2 linked regions of the Cricetulus griseus genome follow. The protein of the gene in region 2 purifies or fractionates together with the protein of the main gene of each other region. This does not show direct contact. Links are inferred from orthologs where the notes say so. Each region holds a gene or a part of one and is shown on either strand. Other genes may lie near its edges.

The links. Proteins that work in one complex are often made in the same cells at the same time.
Region 1: the proteins of Ccp110 (region 2) and Cep76 purify together in Homo sapiens (co-immunoprecipitation; 4 studies listed by BioGRID and IntAct, with this or other methods). This does not show direct contact. The link is inferred for Cricetulus griseus from reciprocal best matches to the Homo sapiens genes CCP110 and CEP76.

The regions. Positions count from the first base shown.
Region 1 is NC_048595.1:171,770,533-171,774,732, forward strand, and holds part of Cep76 (centrosomal protein of 76 kDa), read left to right. Parts: intron 1-665; coding exon 666-738; intron 739-1,669; coding exon 1,670-1,894; intron 1,895-4,200. UniProt on the Homo sapiens protein: Centrosomal protein involved in regulation of centriole duplication. Required to limit centriole duplication to once per cell cycle by preventing centriole reduplication.
Region 2 is NC_048596.1:81,893,843-81,898,792, reverse strand, and holds the start of Ccp110 (centriolar coiled-coil protein of 110 kDa), read left to right. Parts: upstream 1-1,832; 5' UTR 1,833-2,026; intron 2,027-4,950.

The sequences.
Region 1 (4,200 bases), on a different chromosome or scaffold from region 2:
CAGGCTTGGTGGTGCACACCTTTAGTTTCAGGATTTGGGAGGTGGACAGACAGATCTCTATGAGTTGGAGGCCAGTCTGGTCTGCATAGCAACCTCCAGGACGGCCAGGGCTATATAGAAAAACTCGTCTCAACAACAACAAAAACTTTTTAAAAAAAAATTGTGGATGGCAAGAATTAAAAACAGTTGAATCCCTTCATATTAGACTTTTACGAGTTCCATCTCTCATGAAGCTATGTATTTTCATTTTAATTAGGCTAGGAAAATAAAGCCTTTTTTTTTTTAAGATTTTATTTATTTATTTTGTATATGGTCTTCTGCCTGCATGCCAGCAGAGGGCACCAGATCTCATTCAAGGTGGTTGTGAGCCACCATGTGGTTGTTGGGAATTGAACTCAGGACCTCTGGAAGAACAGTCTGTGCTCTTAACGGCTGAGCCATTTCTCAAGTCCTAGAATTTTTCTCTTTCCCCCCTCCTCCCAGGCAGGGTTTCTCTGTGGCTTTGGAGGCTGTCCTGGAACTACCTCTTGTAGACCAGGCTGGTCTCGAACTCACAGAGATCCCCCTGCCTCTGCCTACTGAGTGCTGGGATTAAAGGTGTGGGCCACCATCACCCCCAGGCTGAATTTTTATTTTCTAATTTGTATTTTTCCCTACTTTTCTAGGACAGTGTTGATCAAGAACTCCCTTCTCCAAAGCAAATTGTTGCTTTTGATAAGCAGTCAACATTAAAAAAAAGTATGTATATACATATATATTTTTAACATAAACTTGGTTGTGATTGGTAATGGACATGTCATAGTGTTTGGCATTTGATAGAAATTCTTTTCAAAATGAAGTACTTAAAATTTGTCATTAGTTAACCTAAAACTTAGATGCAGTTTTGCGTGAAATATATGATATACTATATAGTACTGTTGGGCCAAAATTGGGAGCATTGTTTTCTTTTTCTTTTATTTTCTTTTATTTATTTATTATGTATACAGTCTTCTGCCTGCATGCAGGCAGGCGGCACCAGATCTCATTCAAGGCGGTTGTGAGCCACCATGTGGTTGCTGGGAATTGAACTTAGGACCTCTGGAAGAACAGTCAGTGCTCTTAACCGCTGAGTCATCTCTCCAGCCCGGGAGCATTGTTTTCTTATGTCTTAATGATAGATACATTTTATAAAAACTGGTGGTACAACACCTTTAATCCCAGTACTTGGGAGGCAGAGTTCAAGGTCAGTCTGGTCTACATATTGTGTTCCAGAACAGCCAGGAATACACAGAGAGACCCTGTCCTAAAAACAAAGAAAGAAAACTGTATGTGCTTGCTATTTTAATATAGTAAAATAATTAGATAAATATAGTTACTAAGTTGATAATGATCTGAGTTGGCTTGTGGAGGTGATAATATGCTTTACAAACAGCTAAAAATCAAAGTTACACCTAACCTTTGCATTGATTCTCTCAAACATAGTGAGACTGTGAATTCACTAAAGAATATCATATCATAGCTCTCTCCTTGCCATAACACAGATGATTCTGCAACATAGTAAATTGGGTGATTCATCTATTTATTTATTTGTTTATTTTAGTCAAAGTATTTCTATCAAGTCGTTTCTAATGTCTTGATCACATTTAATCAGTTATTTGGCAGTTTCCTCATATGTTGCTACACTTTGCAGCTAATATTGATCCAACACGAAGGTATCTTTACCTTCAGGTTTTGGGTGGAAAAGCTTTCTTGGAACATCTGCAAGAACCTGAGCCTTTACCAGGACAAGTTTGTTCAACTTTTACTTTATGTTTACATTATCGGAATCAACGTTTTCGCTCAAAACCTGTTCCATGTGCTTGTGAACCAGATTTCCATGACGGCTTTTTGCTTGAAGTTCACAGAGAAAGTTCAGGTAAGAATATGTAATGATACCTAATTAAGTTTGTTTGGTTTTTATTGAAGAACAACCGCCACAGCTTCTGCGATAGAGATTATAAACCCGGCCTAGTGGCTCAGCTTCTAATTCCAGCACTCAGGGAACAGAGGCAGTCAGATCTCTTGAGTTCCATAGTGAGAACTTGTGGGGTCGGGGAAGAGAGAGATTGATTACAGTAAATGAGTATCTCTAGTTTTCTTCTCCAGTGCTATTTTTTATTTAAATGAGTTCTTACCCACTTCTTTTTTTTATTTTAATTTTTTTAAAGATTTATTTATTTATTTATCATGTATATAACATTCTGCTTCCATGTATATCTGCACACCAGAAGAGGGCACCAGATCTCATAAGGGATAGTTGTGAGCCACTATGTGGTTGCTGGGAATTGAACTCAGGAACTCTGGAAGAGCAGTCAGTGCTCTTAACCTCTGAACCATCTCTCCAGCCCCCCTTACCTACTTCTTGCTTTACTAATTTTCTCTTATTTTTTGCTATGTTAATTGTTTTCTTTCTTTCTTTTTTTTTTAGTCAATTGTTTATATATATCATGTATACAGTCTTTTGTACCTTCAAGTACTGGAATTACAAGTACATGCCACCACACCTGGTTTTGTAATGTAACAGTCCAAGTTTGAATCTGGTTGTGGTGGTTCATGCTTATAATTCTATCACTTGGGAGATTTAAGCAGGAGGGATGAGCTAACGCCGGAGGATTTCAAGTTGGAGGCCAGCCTGGGCTACATAGGGAGGCCATGTCTCAACAACACAAAACACAAAATACACACACACACACACACACACACACACACACACACACACACACACACACACCTCAAAGTTTATATAATGTGGGGGGCGGTGGAGATGGCTCAGCGGTTAAGAGCACCGGCTGCTCTTCCAGAAGACCAGCATCAATCCCCAGCATCCACATGATAGCTCACAACTGTCTGTAACTCCAATTCCAGGGGATCTGACACCTTCATACAGATATACATGCAGGCAAAAACACCAGTGCACGTGAAATAAACGTAAGGAAAAAAGAAAAAGTTTATATAATGTATCAGTGTATTCGATATATTTTACTTACCAACCTAAAGCCATAAAACAAGCAGAATCGAAGAAGTCTGCCTAAATAATTTAGTGCCTTTAAAAGATGTCTTAAAGTTTTTAATTTTTTTCCTTTATTGAGCTAGGGTCTCAAATAGCACAGACTGTCCTTGAACTCAGCGTATAGCTGAGGGTGGCCTTAAGCTTCTGACTCTTCTGCCTCTTCTGCGTACACCCACTAGTGCTTGAGTTTTAGGTGTGTGCCAACATACATGGTTTATGTGATGCTGAGGTCACACCCAAGGCCTTGTCCATAATACACAAGCACTCTACAAACTGAGCTGCACCCTAGTCCTTTGTAATTTTATTTTTCTCCCTATAAAAATGTTTTTTGTTTGGGTTTTTGTTTTTGGGGATTTTTTTTTTTTTCAGGACAGTTTTTCTCTGTTCTAGAACTCACCCTGTAGACCTTTAACTTTTTTTGTATGGAGGCCTTCGTGGTGGGAGGCCAGTATGGTGGTACATGTCATTAATCCCAGCCTTTGGAAGGCAGAGGCAGGTAGATCCCTGAGTTCCAAGGACAGCCAGGACTACACAGAGAAACTCTGTATTGAAAAACCAAAAATACTTTGGTAATTTCTGGAGTTGAAGAATGAATGTAATTTGAGGATTAATATTTACATAGTGTTTTTTTTAAATATTATGTGTATGGGCATTGTTCCTGCATGTATGTATGTGTGTTTGTGCACAGTGTGCAGTGTCCACAGATGCTTGGAGAGGGTATGAGATCCCCTGGAACTGGAGTTACAGAGGGTTGTGAGCTGCCATGATGGTGCTGGGAATTGAATGCATATCCTCTACAAGAACAAGTGCTCTTAGCAACTGAGCCATCTGTCTAGCACCCTGGATTTTTAGGTTTCTCTTTTTGGTGTGTATGTGGAGTTTTGAGGTGGGTCTCACTATGTAGCTCTGACTAGCCTTGCACTCACAGACCCTCCCTCCTCTACTTCCAGAGTGCTTGGATTTAAGGTGTGTGCTAACTCATTTAGCTGATGGCCTTTTCTTTTGTAATAGTACATAATATAAGTTCTTTTGAAGATTAGACTTTTTATGGATCAGAAAGTACTGACTACTGTAAGTAACATAACTAAGTAACTTCTAAATAATTCATCTTATTCTGCTAGTCCTGGCAGTTGTCAGTCATAGAATGGGGTGATATTCTTCCCCCAGATTCT
Region 2 (4,950 bases):
TTGTTGACAATAGACTCACTAGGTTGGCTGGCCAGTGAGTCCCAGATACTCACCTGTCCCTGCCTTTTCAGCACTAAGATTACTAGTGTGTGCACTGAAGCCCTGCTTCTTAAAGTGTATTCTGGCAATCAAGCCCATTATTATCTCCCAGGCCTGCTCTATATTATACAAGAAAAAAACTTAAGACAGGAAGAAGAGATTTCTTTTTAAAGGTAGCTGGAAGACAGCCATGGGTGCTTAGAACCAAGCTCTTATATTTTTGGTTGTGAGCCTAGCCTTTAACAGCTCAAGAAGAGATTTCTTTAAAAGAGATTTTATTCTCTTCTTGGGATGGTAGCTCATGCCCATAATCCCAGCATAGAGGAGGCAGAAACGAGGGTCACAAGGGTTCCAGGTCTGTGCTTGAAAAATTCATTGTCAGCCTGGCAGTGGTGGTGCATGCCTTTAATCCGGTATCAGGGAAGCAGAGGCAGGTGGATCTTTTGAGTTCAAGGCAGCCTGGCCTACAGAGTGAGTTCCAGGACAGGCTCCAAAGCTAAAGAGAAACCCTGTCTCAAACAAAACAAAACACATTGTCCTCAAGATTAATGGAAAATTACTAGACTTTAGAATCCATTTTAGGGCTCATTTTCTGTTGTAGGTGCCCTCCTGTCTCTGTCATTATTGCTCCTTATGTCCTTTCCTTCACACCATCCCTTCTGCTAGAGGAACTGCCTCTATTCAATGCCTTTGCCCAAGAGCTCATTCTCTCTGCATCCATGTTTATTTCTCTGACATTGGGACAGATGCTCCCTTGTGTCCTCTTATCATTTCCACTCTGCCTCCAGTTCTTACTTGTCCTGCTTTCCTTTCCCTCTCTCTTTTTTTGGCATGAGTGTAAGTGTGTGTATACATATGTCGGGAGAGCAGAGGCAGACATTTGGTATCTTTCTCAGTAGGTTTCTACTCTACCTTTGAGGCAGGGTCTTTCATTGAAATTGGAGCTAGAATGGTTGGCCAGCAAGCTCTAGTGAGCTCCTATTTCCATATCTCAAGAGCTGAGAAGTACAATTTCCAGCCAGGGCCCACAGCTTTTTTTTTTTTTTTTTTTTTTTTTTTTTTGGAGATTGCTGAGTCTCTGAACTCAGTTTCTCATGCTTGTGTGTGGCAAACATTTCACTGATTGAGCCTCCTCTCCAACCCACTCTTTCCTCCTGTAAAAGATTTTCATACCACGTGTTATAATAAGGGTTTTCTCATTTATGCCTCACAACCATTCTTGGTAGGCTCTTCAAAACTCTCACTGTACATTCATAAAAGCAAGCACTGGGAGGAAGGTAAAGCCCAGTTGCAGTCAAAAACGTTAGCAATAAGTTATTTAGGTAGGAACTAAAAAAATATTTGTGGACTTTTTTCTGACAACTTGAATCTGTTACTTTTCCTCTGTACAGTTCCCTGCACTGATCTATAAATGAGCACAAACATATTAAATTAAGCCTTTGAGTTGTCATCTAAGATTCAGCAACATTTTTTCATTTATAGAGAAAACGTTTTGGTGAATGCCACCGACCAAACAGGATGAGGCTTTCTTTATACAGATAAGCAAAAAGTACCCGACAACAAGGAACGCTTCTGAGACTTTAGGTCCTGAGAATTCCTATAGCAGTTTATAAGTCAAAGCCCTTAGTTTGCAGTGAAGACTACTTTTCCCAGTGTGCATCTCGCTTGCCGCAAGGACTATGTCAGCAATTGCTAACGCGCAATGCACTTTGGGGATTGTAGTCCATAGAGGCTCAACCGCTTCAACTGCCCGCCAAACAGCTACCGGAAGTGCCGGCCCTGAGGGGTGGAGTTGAGCTAGTGGCGGCGGCGGCGGCGGTTGCCAGGATCCCGCGTTGCCGCCTGAGGGACCCGTAATATGGCGGGTAGGAGGAGGAGGAGAAGGCGGCGGACCCAGATGCGCTCTGCCTGAACCGACTGAGGCCTTTGCTTCTGAGGGAGGCCGGTCCACTGGCCTCAGAGAAGCTGACCAGGCGGTGGGTGTAAGGTGAGTGAGAGAGGACCGGTTCGTCTCTTTACCGGTCCAGGCTGAGCTGAGACCGGGACAGGCGGCATTGGTGTCTCGCGGAGCAGAGTGCGGGCGTTCCGGGCCGAGTTTGGCTTCCCTTGGCCACGAGCCCACGCAGGCACCTAGGATGGGGAGGCTGGAGATTCGAGGGGATGTTTGGATGCTGGCTCCGCCTCCGCCCAGTGAAGCATAGTACATTGAGGAATAGGCATAGGACATGGGGCTTCAGCTTGGCGCGGGAGAGGTTTGGGCTTCTCCCTTGGTGCGGGCGATGGAGGCGTCCCTCTGGGTGTGCACTGGCTATTTTTGAACGTTGGTTACCACAACCAAGGGCTCTAAGAGTGCTGTTTACTCCACCTTTGCCACTGTGGAGCATCAGCACGAGGACAGTGAAGCTAGTTCTCCCCAGCACCCCTGCTGCTGCTAGGTGGTTCTCACCCTTTGCTTCTTCCTACCCTTCTCATTCGGATTCCAGCCTTCTCACCCCCCTCCCCCCAGTCCAGGCGTATGACAGCCAGCTAGAGATGGATTTAGCCGAGGAAGCCCTTGTCCCCTTCTCATGTTTTCAAGCCACATTTTAATCTTAGCAAAACCTAAACATTTTCTCCTTTCTTCAGGAGTTCACACTCAGGTGATTAAAAATCACCATTATCCATCCCCCCATTCAGAAAGCAGACCCCACGTCTTGATGCTTTCTACATGTCCTACATACAGTACTGCTGATTGCTGCCTGTGCTTTAGCTCATTGGTTTCCCATAAAATCGCTTTGAGACAGGAAGCTGGGCTGCAGGGATGATGTTAGCTTGCCACAAATGTACAGCTAGCATGTGCCTAAAAGCTTTTTCCCCCTTTACTGACTCTATGGGAAGTTTATGTATTTGTAGAAACTTAGTGGTAAGCAGCCAGCTCAGAAGCTGTGTTATCTTTGCATTTCCCTTCAGTGACATTTCTGGCAGGATGTTGGTTATGAATGAGCAGATAGGAGTTATGACTCTACAGGGTTTGCTAAGAGGCTCATTGGACAAAGGTTGGTCGTACTCAGTTATAAGTGGAGTAGACAAGGCATGTCTGGACCTGCAGAGGCTGGTATGAATGTAAGTGGACCATGGACCAGTAATGCCTGATGGTAAAGTATGGGGCAGGAGATTTATGGTTGGGTTCACCTTGTCATCAAGACTCCCTTAAAATAAAACCTTGCTTGCAAATGGTAACTGGTGTGAGATATGTAGTGCCCTCTTGCTAATCATGGAATCTGGACTCACTCTTGATTTTTTTGTTTTGTTTTGTTTCATTTTGGTTTGGTTTTTCGAGACAGGGTTTCTTTGTGTAAAAAGCCTTGGCTGTCCTGTACCTCAGGTTCTGTAGACCAGAGATCCACCTGTCTCTGCCTCCCTAGCACTGGGATTAAAGGTATGTGCAACCACTGCCTGGCTGGACTCACTCTTTTTAATGGCCATTTTTGCAATCTAGAAGTACCTAGTTCTCTGGGAATACAGTTGTTCTCAAAGCTGCCATTCTCAGAATTCTCTTTATTCTGCTGGTCTTACTTTATAGGGTTGTTTGATCTATTTGCCCTAATTAGTTTATTCAATAATTGTATTAAGTGCCTACTGTGTGCTGACACCCTTCTGTGTCATGGGGATTCAGTGAGTGGGACTCAGAAGGTACCTATTCTTTTGGAGCTTACATTTTGGTGGAGGAAGACACACAAAACTAAAGGAAATAAACAAGATCATTTCAGATCACTATCGGTTTGTAGAAACTGGGAAACACCAGGGTAATATACTAGTGACTGAGGGAGGGGAATTAAGGTTGGATGATTGGAGAAGGCCTCTTGGAGGAGGGGACATCTAAGCTGAAACTGATGGGTAAGAAAGGTCCAGTCATGCACCAAGATCATTTGGTGCTTTCTCCAATCTTTATATTATCACTGGAGCTGGAATGTCTAATTCATTGTCATGCTGTAAGTTACTCTGTTTCTGTACCTTTGCAATGTATAGGGTATGCATAGACCACACAAGGGCTGTGAATAACTTTCTGTAACAATTCTCTATGATTTAAGAAAAATAAACTAACAAAGGCAGCTTATGTCCTTAACTTTCCCAGACTTTCACTTGAGTTTATTGCTTTCTGTGCATATGCACAGGAATTATATCACATTTGTATTTCTTCTAATGGTGAAAAATAAAGGATGTGTTGTAAAAAAAATAATTTAGCAGAAAGGGATTTGTCTTAGTCTCAGCTATTATGTTTTGGCTAAGATATTGTGATATGAGTTGTTAAAACAATAAAGTGTTTTGTTGTTTTTTAGTCCTAATTTTTAAAGTGAATGTAAGCATGCAAAACAATCTCAATACTCTAGAGAACCAGATGTTTCTTTGAAATTAATCTTACTTTGCAATTATAAGCAACAGACTGAAGAGAAGTTCTGTTGCTCGGGTTGCAAAGCTCCTGTTTTCCATGACCTTCTCAGAACTCTAAGTGCTTTGTTTTTGTTTCCAACTGCACTCTGGTTTTCCCTGACTCTTTAGTATGAGTTTATATGTTGTATAATGTAAGTCTTCAGAGGCCCAGCAGGGCACCATGTTCTTTCTTACTTCATGTCTGCATGGCCCAAATCATGAACTGAATTTCCCTGCTCAGTCTTTGTCTGTTAAGTAGTTACTTGCCTTAAAATGAATGTTTAACGGGTATTATTACACTGGGCATTCTCTTTCTACAGTGTACTGGGTCCCTAGCTTGTTATGATCATGACAATGTTCCTTTTGTTATTTTCCCCTGCCTTACAGGAACCACGACTGCATGATGTTATATGAAACAGGCAATCAATAAGTATTTAGTACTTGCTAAAACATAGACCTATGCTGGCTAATCTTTCTGGTTACCTGGTATTTTCATAACCT